Coturnix japonica: one gene and its partner. Each later gene encodes a partner of the first gene's protein in a complex. Links are inferred from orthologs where the notes say so. Each region holds a gene or a part of one and is shown in the gene's direction. Other genes may lie near its edges.

Region 1 (10,060 bases):
ATTCACATTACCCTGCATCAGGGCAGGGATCACATGCTCCCCTGTGTATGTAAAATACCACTTGAAATGACCTCGGCTGAGGTCTTTGGTATTACCAGAAATAAAGTGGAACAAATCAAGAGACTTGTGAATAGCTACGTACGTATTCTTGAAGATAGCTCTAGAAGGGAAGAACAGAAAAGATACAGCAGCTGGAAATAAAGTAGGTTGTTGTCCTTCAACTATGAGCAAGTCCAAAGGAACATGATGCATAAAATGAGATTGAGAGGATGCATCTTAACTATCCTTTCCCACATTACAAATTCTCCCTGTACTCAGCACTGGTGAGCCTGCATCTCGAGTACTGGGTCCAGTTTTGGGCCCCTCACTGCAAGAAAGACATTGAGGTCCTGGAGCGTGTTCAAAGAAGGGCAACAAAGCTGGTGAGGGGTCTGGAGCACAATGGGGCCATATGAGGAGAGGCTGCAGGAGCTGGGAATGTTCAGCCTGGAGAAGAGGCTCAGGGGAGACCTTATTGCTCTCTATAACTTCCTGAAGGGAGGTTGCAGTGAGCTGGGGGTCAGCCTCTTCTCTCATGTATTTAGTGATAGGACCAGAGGGAATGGCTTCAAGCTGCAGCAGGGGAGATTCAGGCTGGACATTAGGAAGTATTACTTCTCAGAAAGGGTGGTCAGGTACTGGAATGGACTGCCCAGGGAGGTGGTGGAGTCACCAACCCTGGGGATGTTTAACAACTGGATGTTGTACTGAGGGACATGGCTTAGTGGGAGCTATGTGTAATAGGTGAATGGTTGGACTGGATGATCTTTTAGGTCTTTTCCAACCTTGGTGATTCTATGATTCTATGAAAAATCACCGCAACACCTACGGCAAGGCTCAACAGAGGAAGGTCACCAGGCAGCAGGATTTGATCTCACTGAGGGTCAGTGAGCAGGGGACATGTCAACCTGCGGCTACCTGAAAGCAAAACAGCCTTTAGCCACAGCAGGCAGAAGGGCTGGCACTGACATCCACTCTGGCCACTCGCCTTGTGCTGAGACATGGGAGCACTTGCAAGCTTTGCATATTGTCATAACTGAGCACAGCAGCCATTTCTCATCACAGCTGCTACCCCAGTCTGTGCACAAGGACCAAGTCAATGTTCATTATATATCCTTCCAGGAGCCCCTCATAGAGCAAATCACACCCAGGGTTCAGAAAAGCACAAGCTATCATCCTCCACCTAAGCACATCAGTGTAAGCGTACCCTGTGGCTTTCCCAGAAAGAAGACTGATTACCTCTCATAGCAGCCTAGGCCCTTTGCAGGCTACTCTTTCACCTTCTCCTTTTGTTGACATAGCCCTGAGAAGGCAACAGCGATTCCCAGCACACAGCCCTCGATACGAGACCCTTTGTGCCATAAAGCCCCGGCCGCAGAGCTGCACAGCCCTCAGTTCCTGCTCCCTGACCCCACAGGGACACAGAGGCAGGCACACACCCAAGGCCCCCCCACCTGCTGCCAAGAAATACCCACCTTCCTCTGGAATGTTTTGCAGACAGCACTGAGAGCTTCATTGGTTTCAACAACCAAAGCATCAAAGATTGGCACAACACTCTGAGACCTCTTACAACAAACAAAATAGAGATTCTTCTACAGCTCATATGTACCAGTTGCAGAAGTTATTGTATATCACAGGTAACGCAGATTCCTTTCCCTCTAGGGAAACTAACCAGTTCCTTCTAAGAATTTCTGAACAAGCACCATGAATTTGTTTAAAGGCAGTGCTCACTGAGCCCAGTTTGTCTTAATTCCTTACAATCCAGGAAGATACGGTTGTACAGAGACAATATTATTTAATAGACCACTTGTGATGAAGTTCTGTATCACATGTTTTAGAAAAGGTCATTACTTCCCCACGCAAACCTGACCTTGCTTATCATCAGCTTTACTAGTAACAACCTGAAATAAAGATGTCATATCATGTGCTGGTTGAGCCAGACCAGATAGTCACAATGAACTGGATCTCTGGATTTGCATTAACAAAGACCTGAAGGTCACAGATTAAAAACATACTGATAGAGCTAATGTTGTAGTGCATGATATACTCCTCGCTTTTTGTACATATCACAAGTGTAGCCAGCATTATTATAACGATGGATAAGTGTAAAACAAAGAAAACATTCCTGTCTAGCTTCCTCTTTTGCAATATCATGTCTACCCCCACTTACCTGTGTAGTTCTGCATCTGTTGTAACCTCACTATTTCACTTCCCACTACAAAAAAGCATTAAAAAAACAGCATGCTTTCCTACACAACCTAGTCTAGGGAACCTGCTCAAGGACAAGGTTGGACTAGATGATCTCCAGAGATCCCTTCCAACCATACAATGCTGTGATAACAGGCTGAGCAGAAATGTAAAGTACAAGCAAAAGCCAGAGAAGTGCTCAGAGCCTCACAGATACATGGCAAGAACTGCTGCTTCCATCACATGGGTCACAGCCAAGATGAGGCTGATAAAAGCAGCAGCATTTTGCAGAGACAGGTAAAGCAGGCTCTGTTTTCAGACTAAGAAGGTCTTCAGAAGCCCTAGTAAGCACTAAAAAGCAAGGCTGAAAGTTTTCTTGAAGCCTAATTTATAGCTTCTACATGATCCAAGTACATATCATTGCAGAGAAGTATTACTCAGCACCATCCCCATTCCCCGACTCCCAAAAGCAGAGCTGTCACTCCTGTAAACAGGAGCAGTGACCACTTTGGACACTTCCCTTTGTTTCAGTGCTGCAGATGGACACAAGCAGCTGAGCGGCCTCCCCCAGTGCTGGCTGGGGTCAGAGCAGTGAGGAGAGCAACCAGGGAGCAAAACACAAACTATTCCATCTGCGGGTGGAGTCCGACAGCTGCTGTTCTCCCAGCTCTGCTCCGCCTGCTTGTTCCTCCCCATATTCGTGTTTCAGTCCAATCCTGCTCTGTAGCTCCAAACGCTAAAACAAACCTTTGGATGTATGACAAAGGTACACCCATACATCTCTGAACCAATCTTACAAGCTAACAAAACTAGCTACCCAAAAGTGATCAGTAGTAAATCCACTTACCATGTAGCAGCTCAACTTGCTGTCCTATTTATCCCATCCCTCTCATGAAAGGAAGATCACCTGGGGGAAGCACTCTGAGCACCAAACATGCTTTCTCACAAGCTTGTTTCAGTTGTTTCCCCGGCCTTTCTCTCTGAGAATAAAATGTTACATGCATTCCTAAGATCCTTTTCCACTCACTTGGCAAGGCTTTTATTCTTTCTAGAGGTCCAAGTTCAAGCAAAGGAAGGCCAAAACAGCCCGCAGTGCGTGTGGGTGCATCCCCTGGGCATTGCAGCAGAGGTGCGTGCTGTTCCTCCTCCTTGCTCAGTATTTCAAAATCAGTCCCTGAGTCTCATGGAGTCATTTACATAGAAGAAACTCTGGAAAAAGAGAGATGATCCCTGAAAAGGCCTCCACTCAGAAGAAAAGTCATTCTCCTCAAGGCTCAGACACCTCACAGCTTTGTGGGCTGCAAGGGAATTGAGAGACCACGTCGTCTTCAGCGCAACAGATGTCATTTCTGAGGGCTCAGAATCTTGCTTTCCAAGAAGGATCTGGTTCACGCTTCATGTATGAAATAGAGATATTTATCACAGGTGGGAACATGCTTCATGTCCATGGAAACAAACATTCATAAAAGAAAACAACGTTTCAACTCCTGGTACTTTTTATCAGCAATCCAAAGTACGTAGTTTGTTCTGAAGCAGGGCAGCATATCAAGAGTAATTTCAACCTCTTTAAGACATAATCAAGCAAGACGATAAATAGCAGTTTTTTTGGAAACAATGTATTCAGGGAATAACCCCTCAGAGCAAGACTGGTGCTCTGCTGCCACCTACAGGGAGAGGATGGAATCACCCTCGGTACTATTCCACATGGAAACACCTTAGTGAAGAAACGGAGCTTGCACTTGTGGTCCTAAACCCCTTAACCAAACGGCAATTCTTCAAAGGCTCAGCAGCATTTACCCCAACATTCTGCCACGATTCAGCCTCCAGCAGCTTCTTTTCTCCACCGTAACCTCCCCAGAGTTAACAAAACCCTCCAGAGTGTTGATGAAGGAAAGGAAGGACCTCGGTGTGAATAAGTTCAGCTGCAACTTCAGTTTCTAGATGCTTGTGTTGCTGATCACACAACTCTTTGTTTCGTACTGAGGTGCTCACCTGTTTTTAGATCAGTAAGTGGAAGTGATGAGGATTATCAGTAGGGACAGTCCCTGTCCTGTACTGCTTTGCAGCAGCTCATCTGTTCTTTACTCTTTTTGTAGCATTATGACCAGGAAGAGATCTGCCAGTCTGATGGGGTAGAGGAGAACCATGGACATCTAAAGATCAAGAAGGGGGCTGCTGGCCGGGAAAACCCAGACTGCTAAATCAGTCTATGAGAACAGTACGATTCTTCTCACTGCTCCCTGCAAATTCTGGAGGGCAGAACAGTCAGAAACGATGGTAAGAGGGTAAGAAGAACAAGATAACGTGCCGGCACCTCCCGGCCTAAATCTAGTTCTCAAACAAGAAGACTGGAAGTGCATGCTGGCTCTAAGCACAACGGAGCAAGCAGCAAGCCTCAGCCCTAAGCTACCTTCGATATTAGAGAGGCTTTTGTTTTGACCAAACACAGTGAGGTAAAACAAGGTGACTGTGACAGCAACAGCTTTACACTGTGCTTCCTCCACAGCCCTGAGGTAACACCACAGCGCGGGAAGTGCTGCAGGACCCCGCGCGGCCTGTTCCTTTAGGTGTCCGCGCAGCTCGCCTGCACGAAGGGAATTCTTGGCTCCCAGCTCTCAGGCGCTGCGCAGACAGCTCTATGCGTGACGTGCCGCCTGGCGCCGGCTGTGAGGACCCGGTGTCGCTGCGGGGCTGTGGCGGCGTGTTCTGGAAGCTTCGCGGCTCCGTGAGCTGAGCGGGGCGAATCCGTCCCCATCCGCTCGGACCGGGGGTGTGTCGGCGGCGAGCGGCCATGCCGGAGAACACGGGACACAAAGCGCACGGCGGGGCCGGGAATCGGGCCAAGGGCACGTACCAGGACCGGGACAAGCCCTCCCAGATCCGCTTCAGCAACATCTCCGCCGGCAAAGGTGAGGGCCGCGGGGCATCGGCGCTGCCTGATGGTAGGCCGCTGTGTTAATAGGCCGCTGTGCTGATAGACCGCTGTGCTGATAGACCGATGTACTGATAGGCTGATGTACTTACAGGCCGCTGTACGCTCTGCTCGCTCCTGCCGCCTTAAAGCGGGAAGGCTCGGCCAGCTTCAGGGGCAAGCTGCAAAAATGGCCCCGTTGTATTATTGTATTATTGCTGTTCTGTTCTTGAGTGTGACTCGGTGCTGGTAAAATGAGGAGGGTGCCTTTGTAGTGGGAGACGCTGTTGAGGATGGTGTATGAGTGGTTGTAGCTCTGTAGATCATCTTGTAAATGGCGTTCTTCTCTTTCCAGCTGTCGCTGATGCCATTAGAACGAGCCTCGGACCAAAGGGAATGGATAAAATGGTAAGGCTTTTAATGGAAATACAAAAACTGAGATTGCTGAAGAGACTGTCATGCCCTGTGTAACTCACCAATGTGCTCCTTTGTCTTAAGCTGCTTTTCCAAGCTTGGAAAGCACTCCTTTGTTTTTATGATCAAATGTTATTTCTTTGTAGTAAAATGTAGCTTAAATTCTTATCTCAGTTTTCCTCACAAGGTTATTTGTCAAGCTGTCTGACGCTGAATCACGATAAACATTACTAGCTGCCAACCAGTGCTGTTTCTCCTTCTCAGATTCAGGATGCTAAAGGAGACGTGACAATCACTAATGATGGTGCTACTATCCTGAAACAGATGCAGGTTTTACACCCCGCAGCCAAAATGGTAAATACTTGTAACATCACTTGCACAACGGTACACGGTAGAGGTTCATTTCTGGGACAAGTGAACACAGATTGTAATGTCTCACGTGGGTGTCGTCTGTGATAGAGCAACAGCCTTTCTGCTGAGTGCTTCAGGTCTATTGACATTGATTGTGAGATGCGTTAAAGGATTCCAGGTCCTTATTTCTTACTGCTTAGGAATAATCTTTTCTGGATACGGTTGAAGATATAAAAGGTTTTTGACCCAAAGCTTTTCTTATCTGAGAAAGAAAAGTTGGTGATGTCCTGAACCAGTAGGACAAAGGAGAGTCAAAGAAGAAAACAAATGACATGATGATCTGGTGATCCTAGGATACAGCTTTTATTTTGTTGGAGGCTTCTGTTATTGCTCCAGCCAAATATGCATACACGTATGAGAAGCTGCAAGTTAGAAAAGATAAGCCCTGGTACTGTGGGTAATTCTGGTAGTGCTGTGTTCTGTCATATCTTTTTTATTTCTAACTGTCAGAGTTTTCAGTGAAGTCACATTACATTTAAACTCTCGTCCATTTAGTTGGTAGAGCTGTCAAAAGCACAAGATATTGAAGCTGGGGATGGTACTACATCTGTTGTTGTCATTGCCGGAGCTCTTCTGGATGCCTGTTCCAGACTCCTTCAGAAAGGCAAGCATATTTATTTTATATATATAACATATAATACATATTTCATATATAAGACTGGTTTGGAGAGAGGAGGAAAGACCGCTGGTTTGCAAGGGTGACCTAACAACCTTCTATGTTATTCACAGGAATTCACCCCACCATCATTTCAGAGTCATTCCAGAAAGCTTTGGAGAAAGGTATTGAGGTATTGACCAACATGGCACAGCCAGTGGAACTGAGCGACAGAGAAACCCTGCTGAACAGTGCAACTACATCACTGAACTCAAAGGTATGGCTGATACGTGAACAATCTGCAAAGCTCTCAATGGTTTTATTTTAAGAGTCAAAGAAATAAAGTCAAATTCGTTTTCCAAAGTCCCTGAGCTTATTTCTTCCCACCAGTGGGGCTCTTCTTTCCTCTTATTAAGAAGATAACCACGTTGATGCACCTGCCTGATGGACAGAGAGGGGAATTGTTGGTTTTTTTTCCAAGATTATAAAGTCAAACTAAAACAGAATAAGAACCTTGAGAAACTGCTGGCTGTTTTTGATCAGTGTTAAATCATGCATTGCTGATGTATTTTTCTCCCTTCCCTCATTAAATCCTTTAGGTTGTGTGTCAGTATTCCAGCTTACTTTCTCCCATGAGCGTGGATGCAGTGATGAAGGTGATTGACCCATCTATGGCTAACAGCGTGGACCTCAGAGATATTAAAATAGTGAAGAAGTTGGGGTAAGAAACAATCTTATTTAATTATCTAAATTATTTAGATATTCTTATTTAAATCTAAATTAATTATCTTAATTATAGGCCTGTGTCATTGTGGAATTGCTTCCCAAGGCACTAATAGCCACGGATTGTTTTTGTTTGCAGAGGAACAATTGACGACTGTGAGCTGGTGGAAGGGCTGGTCCTGACTCAGAAGGTGGCCAACACAGGTGTAACTAGAGTGGAAAAGGCCAAAATTGGCCTAATTCAGTTCTGCCTCTCTGCTCCAAAGACAGATGTAAGTTTAACTCAAGTGAGAAAACGTAAATGTAACAGCAAAATACGGATCTTGTTTAAGATGTGGTAATGGCAGCTCTATTCCACAGCTGTAATGAAGGCCTGCTAGTAATGAACCCCCATTACTCATAACTCTTAAACAATTTGTAGCTGGCATGAGAAAACAGTTCAGAACTCCAGTATCTCTCATAGAAACAAATTCTAATAGTACATTTGGCTGTAATCTGTTTGTACGTACTTTAAATCACAGGCTATTAAATCAAAGAATATATAGCATCCCAATGCTTATAAAATGAGCACTCGTTCATGATACTTGTTTCTTTTTCAATAGATGGACAACCAAATTGTTGTTTCTGATTACGCTCAAATGGACAGAGTACTGCGTGAGGAGAGAGCTTATATTCTAAACTTAGTGAAGCAAATTAAGAAGGCTGGATGCAACGTGCTGCTGATCCAGAAGTCTATTCTGCGGTACGTCAGTGCTGGTTTGCTCACCTGCTTTGGTCGTTTGGGGAACAGCGGGAATTGTTTGTAGTTCTGTAAAGTGGAAGTCAAAGATCAGGTTGATACGGAGTGATAGACTGTATCTGTCGCTCTCAGGGCTGGTGCTGTCACTAATGGGTTCTGGATTTCAGGATATCCCTACAAGGTAGTCTGAAGAATTTCAGCATTACTGCCAAGAAGCGGTTATGAAAATAATACCTTGGACTGAGTGCTCCCCTCTTGTTTTTAGGGATGCTCTTAGTGACCTCGCCCTGCATTTTCTGAACAAAATGAAGATCATGGTGGTTAAAGACATTGAAAGAGAAGACATTGAGTTTATATGTAAGGTAAAGTGAGTTACATAAACGTCTACTAAAATAACAGTTGTGTATGAAGACACCAGAACTGGAGTACCCAGCCAGTGCCAGTCTCTTCACACTTGAACAAATCTCACATTGGGAATGTAGTGTAAAGGCAGACAAAGATGTTTCACTGAAAGACATTCCCGTTCAGTAGAGCTGTCCCACTTTAAAGGGTGGATGTAAGAGCAGCAGTAGTACCTGTGCTTTACTGAAGTACACCATGGAGCATGGCTGCTGACTCTGCAGTTCAGATTAGTTTCCTTACTTTGTTTCTACTCTTATTTTTGCAGACCATTGGAACTAAGCCTGTTGCTCATATTGACCAGTTTACTCCTGACATGCTGGGCTCTGCTGAACTGGCAGAGGAAGTCAACTTGAACGGTTCTGGAAAACTAATAAAGGTGAGTGAGTGACAGAAGATTAATTCCTTCTGAACCATTCTTTTAATAACTGCTAACTTAAAAGTAATAACATAAGTAACAAGAGGCCTTAAAGTACCTGCTTGTCATCCCTGCCGAGCCTCTGGCTTGGGAAGCACAGTGGTTTTGCTCAGCAGACCTCAGTACTGTTAGTGCAGTTGCACAAACCAGATGAAGGCTTTCTCTTATTTCTCTTGTTTGGCTTTGTTCTAGATTACGGGCTGTACTAACCCTGGGAAAACAGTAACCATTGTGGTACGTGGATCTAACAAACTTGTTCTAGAAGAAGCCGAGCGTTCCATTCACGATGCCCTGTGTGTCATTAGATGCTTAGTTAAGAAAAGGTAACGTATCCATTTGGCCAGAATAATTTTGTATATTCACGTGGAAAACTCTTTACGAAGTTTGACTTCAATTTCTGTCCCCAGAGCTTTAATTGCAGGAGGTGGAGCACCAGAGATAGAGCTGGCCCTGCGCCTCAATGAGTACGCCCGCACTTTGAAGGGCATGGACTCGTACTGCGTGCGTGCCTACGGGGATGCACTGGAAGTCATACCATCTACACTGGCTGAAAACGCAGGTCTCAATCCTATCTCAACAGTAACAGAGCTGAGGAACAGGCATGCTCAAGGAGAGAAAACAGCCGGCATTAATGTCAGAAAGGTAATGAAGAAGTTGTACATAGAACTCTGTAGCTTAAATAAATAGGCTGTTAAAAGGAAGATGTACTACCTGAAATCTGAAATACAGAGAACAAAATTCTTGCTAAAGTTAGGAACTTACCCTGAGTACTGCTAATGGCAGGTTCTCATTCTACATCCATGGCGTTCTGGTACCTTCACATTTCTCTTCAAAAACAGTTTTCCAGCTGGAGTCACAGTGAACTTAAAGCAGGCAGGTGTGGTTAGAAGGGTTGGGGGTAGTACATGCAGTACTGCTGGGACAGCGTCTTGTTTGAACTGCTAACAGCTATGGCTGGTTTTTCTCTTGGCTCACTTTGAGTGGATACATCAGATACTCAGCAGCAGCCCTTTACAGTAATATTCCTGTTGAGAACTGAAGCGTGCAAGCTAATTGATAGTCTAACTCAGCACAGCATCACTTCTGGGATCCTATTAGAAGGTGTTAAACGTGGTTGTAGGCTCACGTGCACAAAGTGATGGTGCCTTCCTCTTGCAGGGTGGCATTTCCAACATCCTGGAGGAGCTGGTGGTGCAGCCGCTGCTCGTGTCTGTGAGCGCCCTG
Region 2 (10,050 bases), on another chromosome or scaffold:
CAGACTCAGTTTTTGGGGATAGGACCTTTCTTCTCCACCAGCTCTTTCATCGTACAGAAAATGTCAAGTAAAGGCCTTTCTAGTAGCTGCATGAACACTGGATGTGCCTTCGAGGGTCTGTTTGGTGTGTTGCAGAGCAGAACCATAGGAATAGTTTTCATCCTGGAGCAGCTCTGAAATATAGCTCCCTTGATTAGCAAAGGGCCATATAACTATAACTGCCATGCTGCAAACTGCATGAAATGAGTATCTTGATTGAATCTTCCCTCGTTACTGCAAGTTGTAGATTTTTGCTTCACTGAAAGAAATAATCCTTTCCATCATGGCTTTATATGGTCAAATAGTGGGATTAATTTGATTTTCACACGTTTATTTCTTATATATATCCTTTAAAACATTTCTTTCTGCAGTTAACAGCACAAGGATGAAGTTGTATGTAGGACAAGAGGGACTAGAAGAAAAGCCTTAAGTTGTGCTAGGGGACATTCAGGCTGGATACTGGGAAGGACAGCTTCTTCAAATGAATGGTGAGGCAGTGGCACAGGCTGCCCAGGGAAGTGGTAGAATCATCGTCTCTGGAGGTGTTTGAGAATGTGTGGATGTGGCACTGAGGGACATAGTGGGTAATATTGGTGATAGGAGAACACTTGGGCTAAATGATTTTAGAGGGCTTTTCCAACCTTAATTATTCTATGATACAATATATCATTACACACAAAGCTATGGGTCTACTTCCAGGTGTTTTTACATCTCTTTACTCCAACATCCCCCACTTTCTCACTCCAGCCAAAACCTCATCAAACTGATCTTTGCAAACAGGCTGATACAACACCTTCAATTGCCCACTACTGTGAAAAACTCAAGATGTTCACTTTGCTCAGGTATCCTTCTCCTTTTGCACTCCTACTCAAGTGCAGCTTTGAGCTATTTACCTTGTGAATCACTACAGCTCCAAAGTCCCTCAAGATTGTAAAGGCTGACCTGTAGGTTCTGACATACTCATGCTTTGAGGGCACCCAGGTCAAATTCAACATGACAGGCATATCTCTTAGAAAACAGGTTTTCACTCTGCTTGTAGTTTAGTAAGATGGTCCTAACCAGCTCTTCTCTGTGAGATGCTGTGAAGTCTGTGAGGCAGTACCTCAAAGGCAGACTGATCCCACTACACTTGCGCCAGATCCCATTTTCCCACTCAATAGCAAATCTCAACATCCACTACAAACAGAGAGAAAAGCCTAGGAACCTTCTCAATGGAAAGCTTTCACTTCCAATGAGTTGGTTAGCAAAGGCCTGGGAGTTTCTTTAGTTATTCCACACCAATAGAAAGAAGCAAGAAAATCACCTCCACCAACAGCACAAGGTTTAAGTATGCCCCCTGTAGTCAGTATGACAAGGAGAAGAGAGTAGTTTAGTCTCCTGCAAGAGATAGCTCATTGCAGCTCCCCAAACAGTAAGGTGTTAAAGCAAAGGGTAATCAATTCCTAATGCAGAATTAACCTGCAAGGTGCTGAACTAACTGAGTTCATGATAAGCATTCACACGAACATGTCTTGATTCCTCTGCCTGCTCTACAACCTTTACCTGGAAACATATTATAGAAGTAAACAAGCAGATTTAAGAAGTTATGTGGGTGGAATGCTAGATTAAGAAAACGACAAGGCAATCACATCTCTGTGGAAATGAAGCTGTGGAAAGGAGAACAGAGTTGCTTTCCAGGAACTTTTATTACAATCTTTAAAAGTACATTATAAAAACAGTGGAAAAAACTACAAAGAATTAAACAAATTAGAGCTGAGTCCCATTATAAGTGCATAGATCAGACCAGAAAAAGCAAGTTTCACTGGCTACCGGGCTGTTCCTGAGACACATTAGTACTTTTGGGCGTTCTCTTGGGAAGGAGCTGGGGAAGGATATTGGGCATAACCCCTCCTTGAGCGATGGTCACACAGGAGAAGAGCTTGCTCAGCTCATCATCATTCCTCACAGCCAGCTGAATGTGTCGAGGCAGGATCCTGGCCTTCTTGTTGTCCCGTGCAGCATTCCCTGCCAGCTCCAGGATCTCTGCAGTCAGGTATTCCAGCACAGCAGCCATGTAGACTGCAGAACCAGGGCTGATCCTTTCAGCATAGTGGCTTCTCTTAAGGAGCCTGTAGACTCGACCCACAGGAAACTGCAGACCAGCCAGGACTGACTTTGCTTTCTTTGGTGCAACTTCAGGCTTGCCAGCCACTGCAAGTTTCTTCCCCCGTCCAGACATTCTAAATAGCACAGAGAGACAAAGAATTGGAGGTTTTCACACTACCCAGGTGCTTTGGATACAGGTAACTGATAACAAGAGGAGATAACAGCAAGGATAGTTACACTTTCCACTCTTCTATACCAAGCAGAAAGCTTGTAGGAAGAGCAACCTACTGAAGTTCATTAAGAATAGATCTAGGATAACTGCTACTTAACAGCCAGTTTTTGAATGAGCCAGAGTGGTTTGAAAAGCAATCAGTAAAACTTACTGAAGCAGATGCAAAGAGCTCAAAAAAAAGTTTCTCAGTATTTAGAGTGTACTGGAGATTGAGGCAAGATGGAGGCAGGACCTCACACAAGGTTTGTCTTAAACAATAACTTACCTCAATACTAGCTAAAGACCAAGGCTACCCCTTTTTTCCAGGACTCTGCATTCAAACTTCTGTTATTACATTAGATTTTCTGAATTTGTATTACATACAACACCTCAAGCACTCACACAGCCCACTGTAGTCTCTAAACTCATCCCACAATAGATTCTGTAACTGCCATAAGTCTATGGAGGCTACTCTACATCAGAGAGAATGAATTAACTTTGACAACATACATGATAAACATAGATATTACTGTCAGTTTACTAGAACTCTAATCAAGAAATTCAGTCCAGCTAAAGAATATCCACAGTTAAAGTAGAAAACATACTTAATTCTCTTATTTACTCAGACTTAAAATACTACTTCTAGCACAACTGTTTATAATATACAAGAACATCTATTATTAGGTTAATATAGTTTGTGTAGCTTTTAAAAAGAAAAACTTAAGTATTTACAAGACAACAGAATAAAGTTTAAAAGGGAAGAAGCAAAACAAAAAACCCACCCCATAACAAAGCCTAAGCCAAGCCAAAGCTTATTACCCCCACCAAACATTTTCTGATAGCTTACACTGCAGATATACTATGCTACACTCACAGTTTCTCTACAAAGTAACCCCAACTTTTTCCCTAAGCATCAGAGAAGAAAAAAAGATATCCTGTTACCTTCCAAAGAGCTGTTGTAGCCTAATCTTCACTTTGCTATAGGCCACAGTCAAAGACAAACAATCCTCAGGAACCCATTTCCCTTAGCCTGGAGCAGTGCCTTTTATGAGCAAGATTTTCTCCCCATTAGTGGGCTCACCTGGACAATTAATGAGTCATTCCCACATGTGGCTCATCTTCCTCCAAACACTTGATTGGAGGGAAAAGGAAGAAATACAGACACCCTGAGGTAAATCCTTCTTGGAGGGGGCGTGGAAGCCCAAGTTGTCTTCAAGGGCTAAACTACACCTGTAGCTCAGTCTTTGTGATAATATCAGCTCTTAGTTGTTGGGGATGGAATGTTTCTGTTCATGTACCACGTGTAAAAATTAATCCTCACTTTCCTGCTAAGGCTTTAGATAAGTATATAGAGGAAATGTGAGTTTTAATCAAGTTGTGTGTGGGGAGGAAGCAGAGTACTGTGGGTGCCTTAGGCAGAGGAGGCCCTTCAGCACCTGAAGTGATGTGAAGGGGATGCTTCTAGGTGTGAGCTTCTCTGGTAACTCACAGCTTAATCTGAAAATATGGGCTTCTGGTGCTTGGGGTCAGGGCAGGAACTCTTTTCATTCACCTTGTAAATAATGAGTGTACTCTTTCTGCTTATGCCCTTTTTGTAGTTGTTTCTAGGTGCCCAAAACAGGTTCCAAGAGCAATGTGCAAGAACCATGCATGTGAATGGTATTTTCAGCTTCAGAAGATGAATATTTAACCAGCAAGGGCCCTCTTAAAGCTCAGGCCCCAACAAAACATTTGTACACTGAAAGCTATGGAAACAATTAAGCCTTCTATTCTGCTTGCCGGGTGTTAACTGTGGGTCAGAACTAAAATACTGTGATTTATAGAGAGGGCCTGCAGTAGATTCACAGAATCACAGAATTGTAGGGGTCAGAAGGGACCTCTAGAGATCATCGAGTCCAACCCCCCTGCCAAAGCAGGTTCCCTACACCACATTGCACAGGTAGGCGTCCAGGCGGGTCTTGAATATCTCCAGAGAAGATATTCACCACTTAGACAACCCCAGCTTCCACAATGATGGACATATGGTGCACATAAACATTGAGTGTTCCAATCCTCCAGGGCTATAGGACACATTCCATGCATCCAAATATTCATTTTAATGATCACTGTCAACTGCAGCTGTGGCTATCAATCTCAATGTGACTCAAAGTGACTATCTAGGTATCACCAGAGGGTGGTCGGGCACCTCAGGTCAGTGATCACAGCCCTGAACTGCTGGATTTCACTCCTTTCTCTCTCATTTGGAAAGGACTGTCTGGATTTTCACACAGCTCGCTTGCAACAGGCAGACGAGAATCCCTCAGAAACCCACGGTCTGTAGCTGTCTGTCACAGGCTCAGCATCACCACAGCAGAAGGAACCGAGCCCCCAATCGGGCCTATACCGAACTGACGGCAGGCCCTGCCTTATTAGGCGCTTATTAGGCTCCGGGAAGCGGCAGTGGCGACACCGCCCTCGCCCCGCCCCGTCCGCCAGCCCCGCCTCGCCGCGCCGCGCACGCCGGGACCGGCCCTGCCCAGCCCCGCCGCTCCGCAGGCCGCTGTCCCGCAGGCAAGATGCAGGTGAGAGCCGGGGGTCGTGGCGGCCTTGCCCGGCCTTGACCCAGCCTCATAACGCGGGGGAGCCTGGTGGAGCGATGTGCGGAGCCGTATAGGCTGCCGGCCCCGGGTCTTTCCGATGCTCCTCCCCGAGCTGGGCTGCGGCCGTGCATGGCGTTGTGGGGCGCCGGGTTGGGCTCTTGTCTCTTAAAGGGCAGTATGCGTTTTGCTGTTGAAGTAAGCAGGTGGGTGCGTGGTTTAAGCACTTCTGCGTGTTGATAGATGACAGGAGTCATCTATTTTAGCCTTGAGAAAAGAAGGCTGAGAGGGGATTTGATCCAGGTTTATAAATACCTGAGGTGTGGGAGCCATAGTGGTGAGGCTGGTCTCTTTTCAGTAGTGCGTGGGGACAGGACTAGGGGTAATGGGATGAAAGTACAGCATAGGAAGTTCCGCATGAATGTGCGGAAGAACTTCTTTACAGTGAGGGTGAGCCTGGAAACAGGCTGCCAGGGAGGTGGTGGGTCTCCTTCTCTGGAGATATTCAGACCCGCCTGGACGCCTCATCGTGTGGAGTGGTGTAGGAGCTGCTTTGCAGGGGGTTGGAGATCTCTAGAGGTCCCTTCCAACCCCTACAATTCTGTGATTCTGTGAGTGTTGAAGAGCCCTTAGTGCACAAGTAGTGTGTCTTGGGAAGCCTTGGTGTCAGGAGAATGTGTGCTGTGACTTTATGATGTTGTCCGCATCCAGATGGTTACACTTCATCACTGTGCTATGTCTTGCTTGAACGTACCAAAGCTCTCCTAAATACCAGTCATCCATTTCTTGTTTTACTGTAGGACCCAGAGAAAGACACTGAGTGGAATGACATCCTGCGTAAGAAAGGGATCCTTCCTCCGAAGGAAAACCGAGAAGAGCAGGAGCGTGCAAAGGAAGAAGAGCAGTTTGAAATCCTTCAGAAGTCTCTGGGTGAGCCCATGTGCCTGTGAAGCAACGTGTCCTCTTCTTAACCTGTGAGGGATCACAAAGTCACAGAATGACCTGGGTTGGAAGGGACCTCAAGTATCATGAAGTTCCAACCCCCCTGACTGGATACCTGAGCTAATTCTTCTGCAGGGCGATGTGTCTGTTAACAGTATCAGACAAATACGTTCCAGAATATATGGCCTCTTCCAGAGCAGGAAGACTCTCTTCTTGATGACAACTCCATGATTTTGAAACATATACAATTAAAACAAGAACTGTCTCAGAGGAGTATGTCATATGAATGTACAGATAAAACACCTCACAAACATTGTATGTGTACTCCATTATTCAGCCATCCCTGCTGTATTGTATGTTTGTGCTGAAGTCACAGAGCTTGAAAGCTAGCTGTGGTATTTACGTATCAGTGTAGCCAGCCTTTGGCTTAGAATCACCGTTGTCTTTACATCTATATGTATAGAGTACATAATGTTATCTGAAAAGGTAGTGTAATGTTGGAGGGGAAAAAAAAACATGTCTCATACCTAAATTCTGTTCGACTGAAAGGCTGATGAGTTTTGTTCCCAGAATGAGATACTTGCTGATATGATACTGCTTCTTTTCTAGTGAAAACATATGAGGACATGACTCTGGAGGAGCTAGAAGAAAATGAGGATGAATTTAATGAGGAAGATGAGAGAGCTATTGAAATGTACAGGTTAGAGCATCGTGTGGAACTTGCTTTATTGAAATCTTTCTTATTTTGCTTGTGTATCTCTTGTTATTTCTACCGTCCGGCTTCATAGCATAGCATCTGCAGAGGAAACATCAAATTCCTTTCATGGAGCACAACTGTATTTGCTGCATATTGATAGATTGAATATGTGGTGCAAATATAACAATGTCTGTAGCCTACTTCAACTTGCTTTTATCACTTTGGAGTTTCAACGTGTTTGTAACCTGCCTCTAAGTTTCAGCCAGATACTTTTAATGTATCTATTTTTAAGATCTCTTTCCCATTCTTTGTTGTTCCAGACAGCAAAGATTAGCAGAAATGAAAGCGGCTCAAATGAAGAATAAATTTGGAGAAGTTTTGGAGATTTCTGGAAAGGATTATGTTCAAGAGGTTACAAAAGCTGGGAAAGGCATATGGGTAGTCCTGCACCTCTACAAACAGGGGTAAGATCTTATTTAACCTCTAAACCTTTCTTGGCTCCTGACAAACGTGTAGTTAACGTGGAAACTGAGGAACTCAATGTGGAGTTAAGGGAGTTACTAGTAATTTGCTTTCTGTTGGCTTCAAGAGAGTTGAGCTTTGCTGTTAAAAGGATGTTACCATGAAGTGATGCTGCTGGTATCTTAATTAAAAACGAGCAATTAAAGCAATTAAAATGAACAAACAAACCAAAGATAAACCACACTAAGTTTACTTAGTGGTACTAAGTTTATTTGGATGCTGGAGTATTGAACAACAGAAGTAGTCAGAGGTTGTTTCTGGTACATTGATCTTCCCACTGAACTGTTATTTCTGACTGGTTTGTCTTCTGGAGAAGATTGCTATCAGATGAGTCTTTTTTAGTTCTTATGTGTGTCTCTGTCTGTTCTTGGCAGAATTCCACTCTGTGCCTTAATAAACCAACATTTAAGTGGACTTGCAAAAAAGTTCAGAGATGTGAAATTCATCAAAGCTATCTCTACCACCTGCATACCCAACTACCCCGACAAGAATCTGCCTACGATATTTGTCTACCTTGAAGGAGACATCAGAGCTCAGTTCATTGGGCCTTTGGTGTTCGGTGGCATGAACTTGACGAGGGATGGTGAGTGTCTGCATCCATCTGCTGTGAATATCTTTGTGGGAAACTAAAGAAGTTATGTGAGAATAAGGAGAATGGAGATCACTAAGAGCTGCATGATGATAATCGTTATCTTCCCTCCCCACCTTTTGGCTCAACAACACATGATTGAAGTGATATTTTAAAAGCAGCAAGTGTAGGCCAATGTAAAGGTACTTAGAAAGCTGTGGTTTGCAGGTTGGCAGGGAATAGTATCATAAAGTTGTGCTTGGAGACAGTTGTGCAATGGAAAAGGCCCTACCTGTTGGAAAGTAAGTGGAACTGATGCAATTCCTGGACTTAATTAGAGGTAAAGGGATACTTGTTGGCTTGTCAACAAAGAGGGAGAGAGTATGGCCCTGGTTTTGATGATGTTCGTGGTAGGGTGATAAGAGAAACCATCTGGAGAAACAAGTTGGGAGGAACTGAGGAGTATTGTCAAGATCTGATGTCCTTTTCTCTTTTGAGAGTAAATCAGAAAGGTGAGGAAATGTGTGTCGAGGTAAATTAATAAGCATATATCAAAAGGAGTCAGAGATGGAAATCAGCCTAGTTTGCTTCCCCATATTCATGGCACTCTTACTTTGCTCTGTGCAGAACTGGAGTGGAAGATCTCGGAGTCAGGTGCCATCAAGACAGACCTTGAGGAGAACCCCAGGAAACAGATCCAAGACCAGCTCATGTCCTCCATAAGGGCATGCGTCCCAACCAGGGGAGAGAGTGACTCAGAGGATGACTAACTCCTACATCAGCATCGGGGTTGATACAATACACTTACAGACAGTGTTCCTGCCCAAAGGACTGGAGGTGCTCATCAAGATCTTCCTGAACCCCAGAAGGGGAGCATTTCAAGGCACCTTCACTTGAGATTGTAAAAGACTTTTTGTATTACAGAGCCTGAGTAAATCTTACTCCAAGTTTTAAAATACAGGTATTGGTAGATACTAAAGTCTGTTGTTGTTATTTTATTAATAAACTGCTGACACTTTATTTTAAAGCATAAAATATGATCTGGCCTAAAGTGTAATGGTTTGAGTGTGTTAGTATAAATAATTGATCTTAAACATGGTGAGTTACAGCATGGCACTGAATTTGGCCTTCTGTTAGCCTGCCCTGTGTAGATGCTGGGTGGAGAGTGTGGGCGGTGTGTAGAGCTCTTCAAGGTAAAGAAGTAATGACTGAAGTCTTAGTTCAGCTCTATCTCTTCCTTTCCTGAATTACAGCTCTTCTGACACTGAGCTGTGTGCTTATTTTGGATTGGAACAGTAGACACTGATGAAATCTTGAGATCTGCATGAGGATTTGAGTGTCACATCTTTTTGACTTTTGTTTCTTTGGTAAAACAACTAAAACAACACTGTGGAAGTGAGCAAAACGCAGCAGGATGCCAGCTGATAAATGTTGGTTGTTACATGTTGTATGTACTGACACACTTCTTGACACTGGGCTATCCAAAATGCTACCAGACCTGAGCCTTTTTTGCTGCTTGCCTGTACAATCTAGGAAAAGGATCGCTTTTATTCTCCAAAGGAAAGCCAAGAAATTACTTCTCTAGGAGTCATTTAAGCAGATTCTAGCAGAAGTCTGCATGGCTTTTCTTTGCTTGCCCTTGTTTAAGTGTGTATTGTTTCATACCTTGAAATGAGCTCTAGTATATCAGCTGGGCTTCTTTAGGAGGGTGCTAACTGGGAGGAGCAGCCACCAAGGGGCGTTTGATCCAAAAAGTAAGGCAAGAGCTGGTCTGAAATAAGACCCTCTGTGAGATGGTTTGGAATGAATGTCATATCCTCAGCCTTTCTCTCTCCACATTGGCTGCTGTTAGCAGTTCAGCTGTCTTAGCGCAGGCACAGCTGCCATACTCTACTCAATTTATTTTTAAAGCTTATCAACTTTCTAGTAAGGAGGGCAGAAACTTCATTTTGTGTCACTGATTCAACACATTCAATTTAAAGTATAATCTAAAAAGTAGCTAGAGCTTTGGATGCATTTTTGCTTCTGTTACTAGCTCTCTTGAGCCTCTTTAAGGAAGGAGAAGGGCAATAACTGCAGGTAGGCTTTTGTGGTTCTCTGGACCACTGGTTTCTCCTGTTACAGTCCATGAATCAATGCAGTATTCTGTTCTGCCTTCAGTCTTTGCTTTCAGTACATCCTCTCTGTGCCTGTCAGGTACTTTCATCCAAGGACCTACGGTGAGATATCTTGCTCTGGTTGTGAGTTTGCCATGCACATCTTCCTATACTGATAATGTTTCATCTCTACTCAGCACATTCAGTTTTTAAATACATATCTATAACCAGTGCTGGACAGGACAGCCTATGTACTGCCAACTCTTAATTTCAGACCGCAGATGTGGGCATGCATTTATTATCATTACATAGTA

Evidence for each region. Proteins that work in one complex are often made in the same cells at the same time.
Region 2: the proteins of CCT4 (region 1) and PDCL3 are in contact, whole or in part, in a cryo-EM structure (PDB 8I9Q), measured with the Homo sapiens proteins. The link is inferred for Coturnix japonica from reciprocal best matches to the Homo sapiens genes CCT4 and PDCL3. Residues at the interface, in NP_006421.2 of Homo sapiens: Val266, Gln271, Met272, Leu276, Glu279, Arg280, Leu312, His315; in NP_076970.1 of Homo sapiens: Ala70, Ile71, Tyr74, Arg75, Arg78, Leu79, Trp82, Lys86.

What each region holds. Positions count from the first base shown.
Region 1 is NC_029518.1:13,357,746-13,367,805, forward strand, and holds the start of CCT4 (T-complex protein 1 subunit delta), read left to right. Parts: upstream 1-4,872; 5' UTR 4,873-5,017; coding exon 5,018-5,135; intron 5,136-5,492; coding exon 5,493-5,545; intron 5,546-5,815; coding exon 5,816-5,905; intron 5,906-6,457; coding exon 6,458-6,566; intron 6,567-6,691; coding exon 6,692-6,834; intron 6,835-7,156; coding exon 7,157-7,278; intron 7,279-7,419; coding exon 7,420-7,552; intron 7,553-7,882; coding exon 7,883-8,022; intron 8,023-8,284; coding exon 8,285-8,381; intron 8,382-8,686; coding exon 8,687-8,797; intron 8,798-9,028; coding exon 9,029-9,159; intron 9,160-9,243; coding exon 9,244-9,478; intron 9,479-9,994; coding exon 9,995-10,060. UniProt on the Homo sapiens protein: Component of the chaperonin-containing T-complex (TRiC), a molecular chaperone complex that assists the folding of actin, tubulin and other proteins upon ATP hydrolysis.
Region 2 is NC_029516.1:119,998,822-120,008,871, forward strand, and holds PDCL3 (phosducin-like protein 3), read left to right. Parts: upstream 1-4,789; 5' UTR 4,790-4,890; coding exon 4,891-4,896; intron 4,897-5,711; coding exon 5,712-5,841; intron 5,842-6,462; coding exon 6,463-6,553; intron 6,554-6,870; coding exon 6,871-7,014; intron 7,015-7,446; coding exon 7,447-7,655; intron 7,656-8,267; coding exon 8,268-8,410; 3' UTR 8,411-8,677; downstream 8,678-10,050. Other genes in the region: histone H2A, sperm-like, read right to left, coding at 1,838-2,257. UniProt on the Homo sapiens protein: Acts as a chaperone for the angiogenic VEGF receptor KDR/VEGFR2, increasing its abundance by inhibiting its ubiquitination and degradation.